Oryctolagus cuniculus: one gene and its partner. The main gene of each other region encodes a partner of the protein of the gene in region 2 in a complex. Links are inferred from orthologs where the notes say so. Each region holds a gene or a part of one and is shown on either strand. Other genes may lie near its edges. The genes, in order: FBXL5 and IREB2.

Region 1 (8,299 bases), on a different chromosome or scaffold from region 2:
ATCTTTCCTATTTTTCACCCATTCCTCATCAGGTTCAGTTTCAAGTTCAGTTGCAGGACCACTATACCAATCACCTATCCAGTGAATAAATAAGAGGAACAAAATCAGATTAGATCACCTATCTATTTACAATAAAAACCTCTACACACTGGAAACATCCAAGTTACAGGCAAAGACCAGCTACTTTTAGAAGTATTTAACTATGGATTAAAGAAAGCAAAACAAAACAAAAAACCCTACACTTAAATAAGCTAATGCTTCCATTTCAAACATAATAAAGAACTAGGACTATATATGGATTCAGTTAATACTACTAACAAATTATCAATAGTTCATATTTTCCCAAAGTAAATCCTTCTCTAAAACTGACAACAGAACTACAAAAATGTACATAGACTGCTATACCCTTACTATGTATTTATTCTCTGTATGCAATGTTTTCCAACTGTTATATTTTACAGAATAGACTTAGTGGTTGTAATCTTTTCTAGAAAAAGTAGTTATTAATGGCCCTACATGAAACTTCAGAAACCACTGAAAACAACCTAACCTTTTTCCCCTACTGTGGCTTCACCTGGCTCCTGAGACAGTCCCAATACAATGCTAGCTAGTAAACCAAAGCATATTGGACTCTAATTCAGAAGTAGGCAGGAATAGAACTCAAAGGGAAAGACTAAGGTAAAGCTAAACCATAAATAGAAATCCTGGAAAATATATTGCAACTAAACTACATTACTGTGAAAGACAATGCAGAATTAATGTATTTATTCTTAATACTACATCTAAAATAGGGATTCTCAACCTTAATATTACTGACATATCCGGCTAGAGTATTCTTTTTTTAAAAATACTTATTTGTTTATTTTTATCTACTTGAAAGACAGAGAGAGAGAGAGAGCGCGCGCGAGAGCGAGAGCGAGAGAAATAGCGATCTACTGATCTTCCATCTGCTGGTTTACCCTCCAAATGCCCAGAACAGCCGATGTTGAGGTAGGCCAAAGCCAGAAACCAGGACTCCATCCAAGTCTCCCATGAGGGTAGCAGGGGCCCAACCACTTGAGCCATCGTCCCATGACTCCCAAGATGCATTAGCAGGGAGCTGGATCAGAAGGACAGTAGTCAGGTCCAAGTGGCATGCTAAGCCACTATGCCACAACACTTGCCCTTGGCCAGAAATTCTTTGTTACAGGTTATTTTGTGGATTGTAGGGTGCTTAGCAGCAACCCTGGCCTTTACCCACTAGATGCCAGAATAAAACAATATGGGATGAACAAAAAATGTTTCCAAACATTTCAAATGTTGTGGGGAGGGAGGTGGGGGTGGCGCCGGTTAACCCCATATGGGCACCGGTTCTAGTCCTGGTTGCTCCTCTTTCAGTCCAGCTCTCTGCTGGGGCCCGGGAGGACAGTGGAAGATGGCCCAAGTGTTTGGGCCCCTGCACCCTCATGGGAGACCAGGAAGAAGCACCTGGCTCCTGGCTTCAGACTGGCGCAGCGCCAGCCGTAGCAGCCATTTGGGGAGTGAACCAACGGAAGGAAGACCTTTCTCTCTGTTTCTCTGTCTATAATTCTACCTGTCAAAAAAGAAAAAAATCAATTTGGACTGAAAACCACTCAAAACAAATCCCATATATAAAAACCATTTTTATTGGAACTCCTTGCTTAAATACATTTTTTTAAAAAGGCATATTAAAGTTTTGAGTGCATTCACTAATAGCACTATTACATTTGCATTCATATGTGAAGTCGTCTTCAATTAAGAACTCATAATTGGATACAACAAAAAAGTACTTGATGCATCTCTTATTTAACTGCTCACTCAATATTTCATTATCCTACAACTAACAGGAAAAGTTATTCTGCATAAAAAATAACGATTCTAATTATTTGGATCATATAAGTCTACCCAACACTCCAAATAGCTTAACTCAAAAATATTAAATATCTTTTTTTAAGATTTATTTATTTCTTTGAAAATCAGAGTTATACAGAGAGAGAAGGGGAGGCAGAGAGAGAGAATCTTCCATCTGCTGGTTCACTCCCCAATTGGCTGCAACAACTGGAGCTGTGCCGAACTGAAGCCAGGAGCTGGGAGCTTCTTCTAGGTCTCCCACACGGGTACAGGGGCCCAAGGACTTGGGCCATCTCCTACTGCTTTCCCAGGCCATAGCAGAGAGCTGGATTGGAAGTGGAGCAGCTGGGTCTCAAACTGGCACCCATATGAGATGCCGGCACTGCAGGCAGTGGCCTTACCAACTATGCCACAGCGCCTGCCCCTCTAACATTTTTAATTTTATATACTATTGGAACAAATAAGAACTTTTTAAAATATTCATAATTTGAATCAAACACAAAATGATGTGATAAACACATATTTCTGGGGCCAACACTGTGGCGTAGCAGATAAAGCAACCATATGGAGTGCTGGCATCCCACATGGCCACCAGTTCAGGTCCCGGCTGATTTACCTGGGAAAGCAGTGGAAGATGGCCCAAGTACTTGGACCCCTGCACCCATGTGGGAGACCGGAAAGAAGCTCCTGGCCACTGACAGGACGAGTTCATCTCTGGTGGTTGCAGCCATCTGGGAAGTAAGCCAGCAGATGAAAGATCTCTGTCCCTCCCTCCCTTTAACTCTGCCTTTAAAATAAATAAACAAACAAACCTTTTTTAAAAAAATATTTCCATGTTAAAATCTCACAAAATGGAGAACTATAAAAAAGTTAATGTAAATTTTTAAGTTAATATTCACCTAGAAAACACTTTTAATTCAGTGACAGGAGATGCCATGAGCTATGAGAATCCATGGTTGTAAAATATGCTCATGAAAAGAAAATGTTCTTTAACTATTCACATGTGTAAGTAACACACTACAATGAAATTAATGAGTTTGTGATATGAGAAATTACCCATCACAAAAAATGTTATAGACAAAAATAGATTATTTTGATTCACCACCAAGATAAGCCATAATGGTACCTCATCTTAAAATTTCATAGAATTCTCTATTTTTAAGATATTCAAAGGGCTGTCACTGTAGCACAAGAGGGTGAAGTCACTGTATACAGTGCCAGCATCCCAAATAGGTACCAGTTTGAGTCCCAGATGCTCCACTTCCGGGCCAGCTCCCTGCTAGTGTGCCTGGGAAAGCAGCAGAGGATGGCCCATGTGCTTGGGCCCTTGTACCCACATGGGAGATCAGGATGGAGCTCTTGGCTCCTGGCTTCAGTCTGGCCCAGGCCTGGCCACTGGGTCCATTTGGGGAGTGAACCAGTAGATGGTAGATCTTTCTCCCTCTCTAATTCTTTCAAATAAATAAATAAATCTTTTTTTAAAAAAAGATCTCAAATAATTTACTTAACTGTTCTGAAAATCAATTTTAAAAGTTTTATGAAAAATTCTAAACATAGTCAAATATAGAAAGAACTAATACAATGAATCTCCATGTACCCCATTACCTATCATGAACATTTATCAACATTTTGTCAATCTTTGCATTTCCTCCCCAGACTATTTTTCCTAGTTATTTTGAAGGAAACTGCAGACACCATATAATTTAGCCATGAACATTTTACCATTATTAGCTTTTCAAAAATGTATACCAAGAATTCATCACCTAACAATGAAATCCACTTTTTAGTCAACCTCTCAGTTTTCTTTCCTGATTCTGCTTACTAATGACTGCAAGTATTCACCTAGAAAAATACATCATAGTATTTTTTAAAAAAATTTAAAAGTCCCATTAACATACCTCTTGCCCAATGAACAGGGTAAAGATGTTTCCAAAGTGATCCGGTTTTTGCCAGCTGAGACCATTTCGTGCTTACTTGACTGCATCGACATAGTTCCTGAGGATTAAGATAACTGAAAATTGACAGCATTACCTCAGGAGGAAGATGGGTTATACCTGTGGAGTGTTCTGATACTTCTGCTTCTGAAATAAAAAAGAAAAAAATTATCAGTAAAGGCTTTAAGAACGCAACAAGAAATTACAACCACATTTCTATAAATAAAATCCAGTACCTGGAGTTAATTCCTTCCTGCTTGCAAGATGTGAACAGGAAGTAACATGTTTTACAGGTCCCATGAGGATGTTAAAATTGTTAAGAACCTGTAGGGTTAAACTATCATAGCCCAAATCATACTCCACCAGTGGGAGCTACAATAATGAATACACATTTGACTTCCTCTTACAAAAGCATTACAGCAAAAACAATACTCACTTTGTAGCATAAGTAGCATCATTTGGAAAAGGAACCAAACAGGTTACACAGCTTTAAATCAGTAAGTATATAGTAGGCCAGATTATGAGATCTCCAAGGCATTTTAATGACACCCACAAATCTCATATGTTCTATTCAGGCATTATGACTCCTGTTAGGACTTTCCACATGTTCCCTTTTTAATTTTCTTATTTCATATAGAAGGTCTGTGGTATCTAACTTCATTAACCTATACATAACTTACCTAAGTTATATACTAGTTGATACAATATAAATAGTTCTGATGCTGGTATACAATGAAAGGGACTCTTGTCAGCAACTACCAGAGAAACTAAGTCATTAGATGTATTTCTTACAATGTATTATTTCAGCAGCAATTTTTTGAAAGCAAATGAAAATACAGTACTAAATAAAAGATGTATACTAAATTCTACTACAAAGAATTTAAGAATCTTGTATATCATGTCTTCACAAAACGACTTAAATATAGAAATAGGATGATCAAATTGCTTTAGACTACCACTTTTAAAATGCCAAATATTTTAAACATAACACAGCTATAATTTGCTTTGAAGAAGAAAATTAAACATAATTAAGTGTGATGCTTTTAAATCTCATGTTATAATTACAATTAAACCAGATCTAACAGATCTTAGCTTGGTATATGAGGCACAAGCTGCATTTCAGAGTAAAGTATACAAACTTTATGGGCCTAATTACAGCTTAACTTACAATATTTTTGTTTCAACATGAGTTTAACCTACTTTATTATATAAAAACAAGAATAAAGGACTAATTTTAAAAAATTGTAGTCTATTTTAACAGGAAAACCATTGCTACCACCCATCAGGAAGTAAGGAAATTTTTACAAACCTGAGAATGCCAACTGTTTCTTTAATTATGTCTTAAAGGGCAAAACTATTAAAGATAAATAAGAATAAAAAATAAAGAGGTAGTCTGCTATGAAAAAAAAAGCAGGTATACTTTCAAAGTAACTGTATACAGAAAAGCTTTGTCATACTCACTCCCTTGAGTACTACTGGATATAAACATACAGAATGATACATGAAAAAGGGTAGAAATATAAGTAGTTTGCTCCTTGACTTATGATGAGGTTAGAGCACAGTAAACCTACTGAAAGTTGAAAATGTATTTAATTCACCTAATCTACCAAATATCATAGCTTAGCTGCACAATACATTGTGCTGTGTCAGCTTTTGCCTTTGTGACTTGCATGGCTGACTGGAAGCTATGGCTGCCACTGCCCAGCATCACTAGAGAGTATCATACCAAATACTGCCAGCCTGGGAAGAAACCAAAACAAAAAACGTGAAGTACAATATGCCTTCCACTTCTGCACCATCATATAGTCAAAAAAAATCATTAACTGAACAATTTTAAATTGGGGACCATCCATATGAATGATTTAGAAAATCAATGAAAAAAAGAAAAAAAAAGCCACTATGATCCATGGAATCCATAATGTTGGATTACACTATAAAAGTGCTCTGTTCATGGTGGTTTTCAATAACTTTGGTTGGCCAAATATTATTAATATTGTTTGCAAGCCAGCGCTGCGGCTCAATAGGCTAATCCTCCGCCTTGCAGCGCTGGCACACCGGGTTCTAGTCCCAGTCGGAACCCCAGTCGGGGCACCGGATTCTGTCCCGGTTGCCCCTCTTCCAGGCCAGCTCTCTGCTGTGGCCAGGGAGTGCAGTGGAGGATGGCCCAAGTCCTTGGGCCCTGCACCCACATGGGATACCAGGAGAAGCACCTGGCTCCTGCCTTTGGATCAGGCGGCCGCGGTAGCCATTGGAGGGTGAACCAACGACAAAAGGAAGACCTTTCTCTCTGTCTCTCTCTCTCACTGTCCACTCTGCCTGTCAAAAACAAAATATATATTGTTTGCATATATAAATTCATTCAAGAAACACTATACCGTTTATGACCCAAGTATATGAGATGATAAATCATAGACAACACTAAATTATAAAACAGAAACTACACAGATTGGACATTACACAATGTATACATGTACCAAAACATCATCACATGGCACACCATACATAGCACCATTTTTACACATTAAAATTTTTTAAATGAAATAGAAACTACAGTCCTCATTTAAATTTGTTAAGTGATTTAAAAGGCTTCAACTAACCACACTGTAAGCCTGAGTTAAATGATTCCTCAAACAAAATCTACAGTTCATATCAACAAGAGGTCAAAGGCCTTGAGCTAATAAAATGTTCTCTAACTAAAATGTTCTCTATCTACATATATCAATCCCACCTTTATCTGACTTTTCATCCACAGAATATTTAAAAAACTTCTGTCGTTCTTCAGCTTGATTCCATAGACTAAGTCCTCTAAGGAGTTCTGCAGTATCCTTCTGAGAGCAGTGTTGTGCAATCACTTTCTTTTTAATATCCTTAAGTTCTTCATAAGTAAAATATTCCATTAACATGGGCTGGAAAACCTAAATTAAACAGAATATTCATAAGGTAAGATAATTAATTTGTTTTGTTTTACTCTACACTCTTCATATTAGTAATGGCTCAAGTATATTATTATGACTGTATATTTCAGAGATAAAATTGCAGAAAATGTTGTCAAAAGGATCCTTTTCTCTGTGCTTTCTCCAGCTAAGTCAAACTCTAAGCAACTTGAAAGCATCAAGACCAGAGGATTCTCCTGCACTGAGTTTCATAAACAGGCATTTTTAGTGTTAGACACAGGTCAATTTACTGCCTTCTTGTACTGTAAAAACTGAACTCCACCTGTTGAAGTGAAATGGACACTATGAGAAACAGTGACTTGATCAGCTCTTGTCCTGACTGTTGATGTACAATGTAATACTTTATCCATTTTAGTATTTTCTCTTTGTTTTGTTCTAGTACTACTGGTTGAACTCTGTGATTAACACGCAATTATTCTTAGGTGTTTAAATTTTAACTGAAAAGTGATCCCTGTTAAATATAAGAGTGGGAATAAGAGAGGGAGCAGATGTACAATTTGGGACATGCTCAATCAGACTTGCCCCAAATGGTGGAGTTAGAATCATGCCAGGGGATCCCAATACAATCCCATCAAGGTGGCATGTACCAATGCCATCTCACTAGTCCAAGGGATCAATTTCAGTTCACAATTGATCACACTGATAGGTCTAAGAGTCCAAGGGATCACACAAACAAGACTAGTGTCTGCTAATACTAGCTGATGGAATCAAAAAGGGAGAGAACGATCCATCATGGGAAGCGGGATACACAGTAGACTCATAGAATGGCAGATGTCCTAAATAGCACTCTGGCCTCAGAATCAGCCCTTAAGGCATTTGGATCTGGCTGAAGAGCCCATGAGAGTATTTTAGGCATGGAAAGCCAAGACACCCTGGAAAAAAAAAAAAAAGAAGAAGAAGACCTAAATGGAAGATCTCTGCAAGTGAGATCCCAGTGGAAAGAAAGGGGCCATCAAAGAAGGAGGTACCTTTCTCTGAAGGGAAGAGAGAACTTCCACTTTGACTATGACCCTGTTGAATAAGATGAAGTCGGCGAACTCAAAAGGCTTCCATAGCCTTGGCAACTCATGACTAGAGCCTAGGGAGATTACTGATGCCATAAACAAGAGTGTCAATTTGTTAAGTCAACAACAGGAGTCACTGTGTACTTACTTCTCATGTGGGATCTGTCCTTAACGTGTTGTCCAATGTGAAGTAATGCTATAACTAGTACTGAAACAGTATTTTACAGTTTGTGTTTCTGTGTGGTTGCAAACTGATGAAATCTTTACTTAATATATACCGAATCGATCTTCTGTATATAAAGATAATTGAAAATGAAACTTGATGTGAATGGAATAGGAGAGGGAGCGGGAGACGGGAGGGATGTGAGTGGGAGGGAAATTATGGGGGGGGGAGAGCCATTGTAATCCATTAACTGTACTTTGAAAATTTATATTTACTAAATAAAAAATTAAAAAAAAAAAAACTGAACTCCACACAAGAACAACCTCCACCTCAAGTGAAAATGAAACTCAAGAGTAGTGAAACCATCAAAGTAAGAATTCTACTAAGATTCTG
Region 2 (8,299 bases):
AAGAGGTGCTGAAGGACTTGACCCTTCACCCTCACCCTCACCCTCACCCCAATTGCTTCACCGGCAGTAGAGCTGTGCTGGGCATGGAGCAAATCTCTTTTCAGAAAACCTCTCTTACTACTCAGTTCACAAAGACGACTGATGAAGACAAGCGCCTCAGAGAGGGTATGCACCCACCATCTACGTCCCGTTACAACGTTCTTGGCGCACTTACCCCAGCCTAGAATCCCCAAGCCATTCACCATGGTTATGTGAGAATCCGTGCCGACCACGCTGTCTGGGAAGAGGAGGTTCTCTTCCTCAGACACTACTCTTGACAAGTACTCTAGGTTTACTTGATGAGCCATTCCAGTTCCAGGAGGGATCACAGCCACATTCTTAAACACTCGGGAACTCCACTAGATTTTGTTCAAAGAAACACAAGGGTTAGTACTGGAATGTGATTGTATTCATAATCAAAATATATTGACACATAAAAATAATCAATGTCCAATATGGTCAGTTCAAAGTTTATAGCACATCCTTAAAAACAAATGTGCAGATATTCAACCTAACATCTGCTTTACAGATATTTAAAACAAAACTAAGTTAGGTCAAAGAAGTATGTTCCAATAGCTCCAGTAAATGATCTACTCATGTTTCAAAGATTCCCAGAGATGAGCAGATAGGAAGACCCCAGGCACAAACTCGCCAAACTCCCTTGAACCAGAGACACTTCTGCCACTGGGGTTTCCAGTAAGATTTTATTTGAACAAAGCTTTCAACTACCATAACAGCTTTAAAAAGCACCAAAGAGGGGCTGGCTTTGTGACATGGTAGGTAAAGCTGCCACCTGCGACACTGGCATCCCATGTGGGCGCTGGCTCGAGTCCCAGCTGCTCCACACTTCTGAGCCAGCTCCCCACTCATGCGCCTGGGAAAGCTGTGGAAGATGGCCCAAGTGCCTGAGCACCCTGCACCCATGTGGGAGACCTGGAAGAAGGTCCTGGCTTCCATCGGGGCCCGCCCTGGTCACTGTGGCCAGCTGGAGAGTGAACCAGCGGATGGAAGATCCTTCTCTGTCTTTTCCTTTCTCTGTAACTCTGCCTTTCAAATAAATAAATTTTAAAAACACACTAAAGATACAAATAAAAAATTGCACCTATCAATATTTTACAAATTTCAGTACAAAAGCTCCCCCAAATCTTTTTATACCTTGAAAAATTGAAGCCTCTCGCGATTTCTGCCAAATTCTACTTCTTGATTTTTTAATACTGTTTCAGGTCTGAAAAGAAGAGCTGTTGTTAAATTCACATCTTACAGAAAAGCCTTGTTTCTAAGTATTTCTCCTTCTGTGTATTAAGCACTTTTTTAAAGCCTTAGAACAATTTACCAGACTTCTCAGAATTAGGGTTTTTTTTTTTCCAACAAGGAAGTTGTGCTTTAAATAACTTCCCCGACAGGCATAGAAAGGAGTTACTATTTTACTAGGTACAACAAAGCAATGTCCACACCAGTGTCCAAAGCTATACTTAAAATGCATTATTATGAAAGACTTGGCTACAAGCTCAATAAATGGTATGTTTTGTTTTCCACTGCAATTAAAAAAAAAGGAGGGGCCTGTACATGCTTATTTAGCAGTTAGCTCCTACACGGTTACACTGGGAAACGGGTGTTGATTATTGACATGAGGCAGTACACCTGACCACATTTATGGCTTAAACAGCTTTTGGTGAAAATCTTTTATTCATCTCACCCAAAATGGAGGGCTCTTTTTTTATGTATCAATAATTTTCTTTAAATGGATTATAAATGCATTTTATGTTAATTATTTCAACTAAGAGACAACAATAACTCACCTCTAAGCAGTAAATATCATACCACCGTGGGGAAACTAATTTTACCTAATAGATATTTTTTAAAAATTATTTCAAACAGCATTTATTTATTCCACCCGCCAGCTGGAGATTAGACACTGACTAAACATCAATCTAACCTAAATTACACAGGTCCTCCAGGATCTGCAGTCATCTGTCAGTATTTTTAAAGAACAGGGACAGGGGCTGGTGCTGTGGCACAGCAGGTAAAGCTGCCGCCTGCAGTGCCAGCATCCCATTCGGGCGCCAGGTCAAGACCCGGCTGCTCCACTTCTGATCCAGCTCTCTGCTATGGCCTGGGAAAGCAGCAGAAGATGGCTCAAAGCCTTGGGCCCCTGAACTTGTGTGGGAGACCCTGAAAAGCTCCTGGCTCCTGGCTTCGGTTTGGCACAGCTCCGCCCACTGTGGCCAGTTGGGAAGTGAATCAGCAGATGAAAGATCTTTCTCTCTCTCTCTCTGCCTCTCCTTCTCTCTCTGTGTAACTCTTTCAGATAAATAAATAAATCTTTTTTTGAAAAAAAAAAAAAAAAAAAAAAACGCATTGCAGGACCGGTGCTGTGGCATAGCAGGAAAAGCCACCGCCTGCGGTGCTGGCATCCCATATGGGTGTAGGTTCAAGTCCCAGCAGTTCCACTTCTGATCCAGCTCTCTGCTATGGCCTGGGAAAGCAGTAGAAGATGACCCAAGTCTTTGGGACCCTGCACCTGCTAGGGAGACCTGGAAGAAGCTCCTGGCTTTGGGTCGGTGCAGCTCTGGCCGTTGCGGCCAGTTAGGGAGTGAACTGGAGAATGGAAGACACCTCTCTACCTCTCTCTCTCTCTCTCTCTCTCTCTCTCCCCTTCTCTGTGTAACTATTTCAAATAAATAATAAAAATAAAACTTAAAAAAAAAAAAAAAAAGGAATTCATTGCACATTGATGACTTGAAGCCACAGCACAGTGAGGTTCTTCTCAGGACCTCAGGGACACAGCTTTCTGGAGCCACTGGAGTGACTTCACCTTTCCACTGCACGACGCGACACAGGGCCAAACACGCAGTGCTGAACCGGCCTGCAAATCAGGCACTGAGTTCAAGTGTCAGATGTCATGCTCGCAACGTTCTAGCCCTCAACTTCTTGCCTGAACCTACAATTAACATTTTACAGAAGAACTAAAGAACACAAAAGAATTCTTTACTATGTCACACAGCCAAGAATTACAATACAATCGTTCTTAATTTAGAGGCAACACTGAGGGGAAATTTGATTGAATTTTAGAAATGAAAATATACAGTAACTCACTCATTCTCTGCAAGTTACAAAAAGGCAACTAAAGAATCAATTATTTTTAAATCAATAAATCTTCCTTTTCTGGAATTATTTTCCATACAAAAGACATTAACCACAAAAGCAACAGGCTGCTAACCACCAGTACAAACAGGTAGCAGGAATAAGGAGTGACAACACGAGCCTGTCACAATTTGAGAGCCAAGCACAGGGATTATATCGAGTTGCTAGAAAGAGCGAGCATAGGAGCTCACTGTAGCCCTGGCTTTATGAAATACTGGAGGAGAGGGCACTCGGGGCAGTAACGGAGACGCCGCTCGAGACACCGGCATCCCACACGGGAGTGCCTGGGTTTCAGTCCAGTTCTGCTCCCTATTCACACCCTAGAAGGCACCAAAAAATGGCTCAAATACTTGGGTACCTGATACCCAAGGGAAATCAAGATTGAGAACCAGCGTATGAATGACACAAATTCACGAAAATATAAAACCCAATTGAAAATGAGATCCTGTTTTCTGCCTGCATCAGTCATAGATACAAAATATATTCAGAGGCCGGCGCCGTGGCTCAATAGGCTAATCCTCCACCTTGCGGCGCCGGCACACCGGGTTCTAGTCCCGGTCAGGGCGCCGGATTCTGTCCCGGTTGCCCCTCTTCCAGGCCAGCTCTCTGCTGTGGCCAGGGAGTGCAGTGGAGGATGGCCCAGGTGCTTGGGCCCTGCACCCCATGGGAGACCAGGAAAAGCACCTGGATCCTGGCTCCTGCCATCGGATCAGCGCGGTGCGCCGGCTGCAGCGGCGGCCATTGGAGGGTGAACCAACGGCAAAGGAAGACCTTTCTCTCTGTCTCTCTCTCTCACTGTTCACTCTGCCTGTCAAAAAAAAAAAAAAATATATATATATTCAGATACATCTTAAGAAAGGTTTGCTTCCTAAGGAGCAGAAATCAAGAGTGGTAGACTATCATTTTATTTAAGTTTGCCTCTTTCAGAAACATAGGAGATACAGTGTAAGTGCAATCTAGCACATGAGTGTCAGGGCAATGAATGCACCAGGCATCAGGCAGGAAGGGGCTGATCTCCTCAAGAGAACACCGCCTGGCACTAACATGTCGGAGAGCACGTCTCCCACTCAGGCACCCCTGCCGAAGCGCAGAGCCCCCTGCACCAATGCGTATTAACAGAGCGCTCTCATACTCAGGCACTGGCTGCAGATGGAAAGGACACAGGATGGGCGTGTTCTCGATCTGCGAAGCGAAGGCTCCCGGGTGCCGGCCCAGGTCTGCAGAGTCGCAGGGCCCTCGGCAGGCAGTCTGGCCTCTGCAGGGTAGCTTCTTGGGCTGCGCTCTGAGTGGAGAGAGCTTGCCTGCCTTCTGCAGCTCACCACCTCCAGGATTCGGCGCGTTCTGTATTGCACTGGCATGCCGAAAAGGAGACAAAATAAAACCGTTTCAAGTGACGGAAAAGTTAGGTCTTCAAATAACATACACAACATAACTGGATGATGTCTGAAAGCTAATGTATAATTTAACAAAATCAAATCTCAGATTTAAAGAAAAAAACAAACAGAAACAGGTTAGTTTCATTTATGAAGATAAAAACATAATGCTACACATTCACACTCAATTAAATCATTCTCATGTTCTATCAGCCTCAATAACTTTTATCAAGAATTTGGAAATAAATTTTTTTTCTTTCATCTAACAAATTAGGAGATGCTCAGAGCTACAGTCTAAAAACACAAGGCAAAGTCTCCCGCAGGCTGTAACACACTGGAGTCTACCTCGGTCACTCCAGGAGTGTAAGAGAATGTGGATGCCCGGCAACAGAAATGCGTGTTCTCTAGTTTGGCCTTGGTCAAGGGGCTTCAGAAACAGAACAAACCGATCTCAGCGGAAGGAAAACAGAGCTGTAGTGAGCTCAGTGTTTCCAATCAATTAATTAAAGACATGCATGGCTCAAATCCTTATTCTCTCTGAAAGGTAAGTAGGTCAAAAAACAAAAAGGAAACAAAGACTGAACTCAGATGGTCACTCCAAAAAGCTTATATTTCCATCCAATATGGCAACAAAAATACACAAGGTGATAACAGCTCTATACTCAGTCTGTGTACAAGCAACCTGGCCAATGCACTGACTTTTGTCCTCTTGTATGCTAGCACACTTTCCTCTGGACAAACCACCTCTATCCTTCCCTCCACACCACACACTCTGGTTAACTTGCATGGCGTCTTCCCAAGCATCTGTCTTTAAGTACCATTTACTGAAGTCGATCTGTAAAGAATGGTCGACTGTGAGATCTGTCGGACAGGCAGGATGCACTTTCTTAGGGTCACCTCCAAGAGCCTTCACCGCCTCCCTCATAGCAGCAAAGTCCACCATAGCTGGGATTCCACTACAAAACAAAAAATGGTCAAATCATAATATGGTTTTAATTGCTTTTTATATTGTCTAATAAACAACTAACATACACATATTTTTGTAACAAGTATTTACCAAATGCCTTCAATGTGCTAGACACCAATGAAACAAGGCCAAGTACCACATAGCTCTGGCTCTCAAGGAATCTGTAGCGAAGGCATAGCAATGCTTACAGAATAAGTACTGAGATAGTACTATACACCAGGAACCCAGAGCAGGGGCACACAAATCAGATTTGGTGGGCACGTGAAGGGAATGTTCTACCTAACTCTTAGGACCCTTTAAAACTTAGGCCAAGGCTAACTCTTACGGTGATTAATTCCAGGCAGTCTTTCAGGCTATTGTAAAGACTTGGGATTTTCTTTTAAGTCTGATGGAAGCCAACTGGTGCATGGAGGAATGATAAGGCCCGAATAATATTTTTAACTAAGCCACCCCATCTACTATGTAAAAGACAGACTGCAGATTGCAAGTGTGGAATCAAGACTACCAGACTACAGCAGCTGTCGTCCAGATAAGGAAGGGGCTAGGACCGGGTGACAGTGGTAGAGATGGTAGGAAATATTTGAACACAGACACATTTCAAAGGCAGCACTGACAGGATATGCTGACAGAATACGCAGTACTAAGCAAAGAGGAGCCAAGGCTAACTACTAGATTTTTGGCCTAAACCATTGGGAGGCAATGGTGCCGGTCAGTAGGACAGAGGGCTTAGAAAGGAACAGGTGACGTGGGCCGGGCAGTCAAGAAATCAAGTACTGGGTGGGTTGTCTGAGAAACCTATCAGCTATGTGGAGGTAACAAGCAGGCAATTAAGCAAAAATAAATAATAAATGGTTTAAGAATAAATGCTTTAAGGAATACATGTCTAGTTTCTACTGAACTGCTTCACTTTAGAAAGGGAAATTTTTAAAATTCATAAACCCATCTTCAAAATTAAAAAAAAAAAAAAAGCCATCCACCAAGGAGACTGATTTCTAATAAGGGAACAATGAAGATTCACTATGCAAAAAACTATCACTCACGTAAAATCTTGAAGAAGAACACGGGCTGGGAAAAAGGGCACTTCAACATTGCTTTGTTTGGTTTTCCAGTCTAAAATGTTCATAACATCTTCCTTTTTCATTAAAAAGCCATCACAATTTCGTACAGCAGCTTCCAACAGGACCCGTATTGAGTAAGGCAGAACATCTGATCCAAAAGAAAAGATGACTATTAGTGAGAGAACAGTCATACCTACATATTCTAAAAATCACAATAACAAAAAGATGCATTTTTCTCTCAAAAACACTCACTGCTCAGGTGAGTACACCTGGAATCCGACCCCACCCCTTGTAACAGCAGGCCTTCTGTAACTACTTCACCACACGTAAGGCAGAGAAGAAAACCTCCAAGGAACAGACGCTCTGATCTGGACCTATCGGCCTATGATCGTGAAAAATGAACAGCTGACATTCAGGGAAGACACAAAAAAACTGAAAAGCACACAATGTCAACTCAACACAATAATGAAAAAAACTCTTATTGTGGCAAAAAAAATGGTTATGCTGTCTAAATTCCATTAGGACGCTTGGGTGATTAAAATTCATTTCAGGGAACCTCATTCACTCTTGATTACTAGTTTAAGGGTATCAAGGAGACAGATTTTGCTATTTTTAAACTTTTAGTCCTATTTAATTCTCACATCAGATTCTGTCACAGTGTTTCCTCAGTACTTAAAGGGAAGACTGAGGGAATAAATCATGCTAGCTCACATTAAAGGAACGAAGGGTTCTACACACTGATAAGGAGTGATCGCCAGAATTCTGTCCTCAAGGGAAAAGCAGCATGATGGGGCCAGCGCTGTGGCATGGCAGGTAAAGCTGCCACCTGCAGTGCCGGCATCTCACATGGGCGCTGGTTCTAGTCCTGGCTGCTCCACTTCCGATCCAGCTCTCTGCTATGGCCTGGGAAAGCAGTAGATGATGGCCCAAGTCTTTGGGCCCCTGCACCCATGTGGGAGACCCAGAGGAAGCTCCTGGCTCCTGGCTTCAGATTGGCTCAGCTTTGACCACTGCAGCCATTTGGGGAGTGAACCAGCGGATGGAAGACCTCTCTTTCCCTTCCTTCTCTGCCTCTGCCTCTCTGTAACTCTGCCTTTCAAATAAATAAATAAATCTTTTTTAAAAAATCCTGTAAAGGACTTCCTTTATATATTAAAAAAAAATAAATAAAGCAGCATGAGCCATGTTCACAGTAGACCACCTTTCCTCAAGAAAGGAGGTTAAACACACACATGCAAAATAATTAAAGGGGCCAGCGCTGTGGCACAGTGGCACAGTGGTTACATAAAGCCACCACCAGCAGTGCCAGCGTCCCATATGGGCGCCAGTTCAGGTTCTGGCTGCTCTACTTCTGATCCAGCTCCCTGCTATGGCCCTGTGGGGCCTCTCCACCCACACAGAAGACCCAGATGGAGGCTCCAGGCTCCAGGCTCCAGGCTCCTGGCTCCAGGCTCTGGATCGGCCCAGCTCCAGCCATCACGGCAACCTGGGGAGGGAACCAGCAGATGGGAGATCTCTCTCCTCTCTATATACCTCTTAAAGCCGCCTTTCAAATAAATGAATAAATCTTTAAAAATAATAACAAAACATAAATTTAAAGTATACATTTACAGTGTTTTTTCCCAAGAGAACAATGCAAGGCTGATCTGAAGAACCCAGCATGTGTCCCACACAGCACTTCCGACTGGGCTCCTCAGTGAGATATACACTAAGGAAAA

What was found.
Region 1: the proteins of IREB2 (region 2) and FBXL5 are in contact, whole or in part, in a cryo-EM structure (PDB 6VCD), measured with the Homo sapiens proteins. The link is inferred for Oryctolagus cuniculus from reciprocal best matches to the Homo sapiens genes IREB2 and FBXL5. Residues at the interface, in NP_004127.2 of Homo sapiens: Asp89, Phe90, Ser129, Asn217, Val220, Glu221, Arg224, Arg228, Ala758, Gly759, Ser760, Arg763, Asn764, Thr777, Pro778, Arg779, Asn782, Ser783, Tyr784, Gly785, Ala786, Arg788; in NP_036293.1 of Homo sapiens: Asp656, Glu657, Tyr661, Cys662, Asp663, Asn664, Ile665, His669, Ala670, Asp671, Thr672, Ala673, Ser674, Gly675, Cys676, Gln677, Asn678, Leu679, Gln680, Cys687, Arg688, Ser689, Gly690, Glu691.

What each region holds. Positions count from the first base shown.
Region 1 is NC_091433.1:10,672,494-10,680,792, forward strand, and holds part of FBXL5 (F-box/LRR-repeat protein 5), read right to left. Parts: intron 6,701-8,299; coding exon 6,514-6,700; intron 3,933-6,513; coding exon 3,750-3,932; intron 75-3,749; coding exon 1-74.
Region 2 is NC_091443.1:106,226,002-106,234,300, reverse strand, and holds part of IREB2 (iron-responsive element-binding protein 2), read right to left. Parts: intron 6,730-8,299; coding exon 6,564-6,729; intron 5,513-6,563; coding exon 5,375-5,512; intron 4,535-5,374; coding exon 4,316-4,534; intron 1,265-4,315; coding exon 1,195-1,264; intron 399-1,194; coding exon 215-398; intron 1-214. UniProt on the Homo sapiens protein: RNA-binding protein that binds to iron-responsive elements (IRES), which are stem-loop structures found in the 5'-UTR of ferritin, and delta aminolevulinic acid synthase mRNAs, and in the 3'-UTR of transferrin receptor mRNA.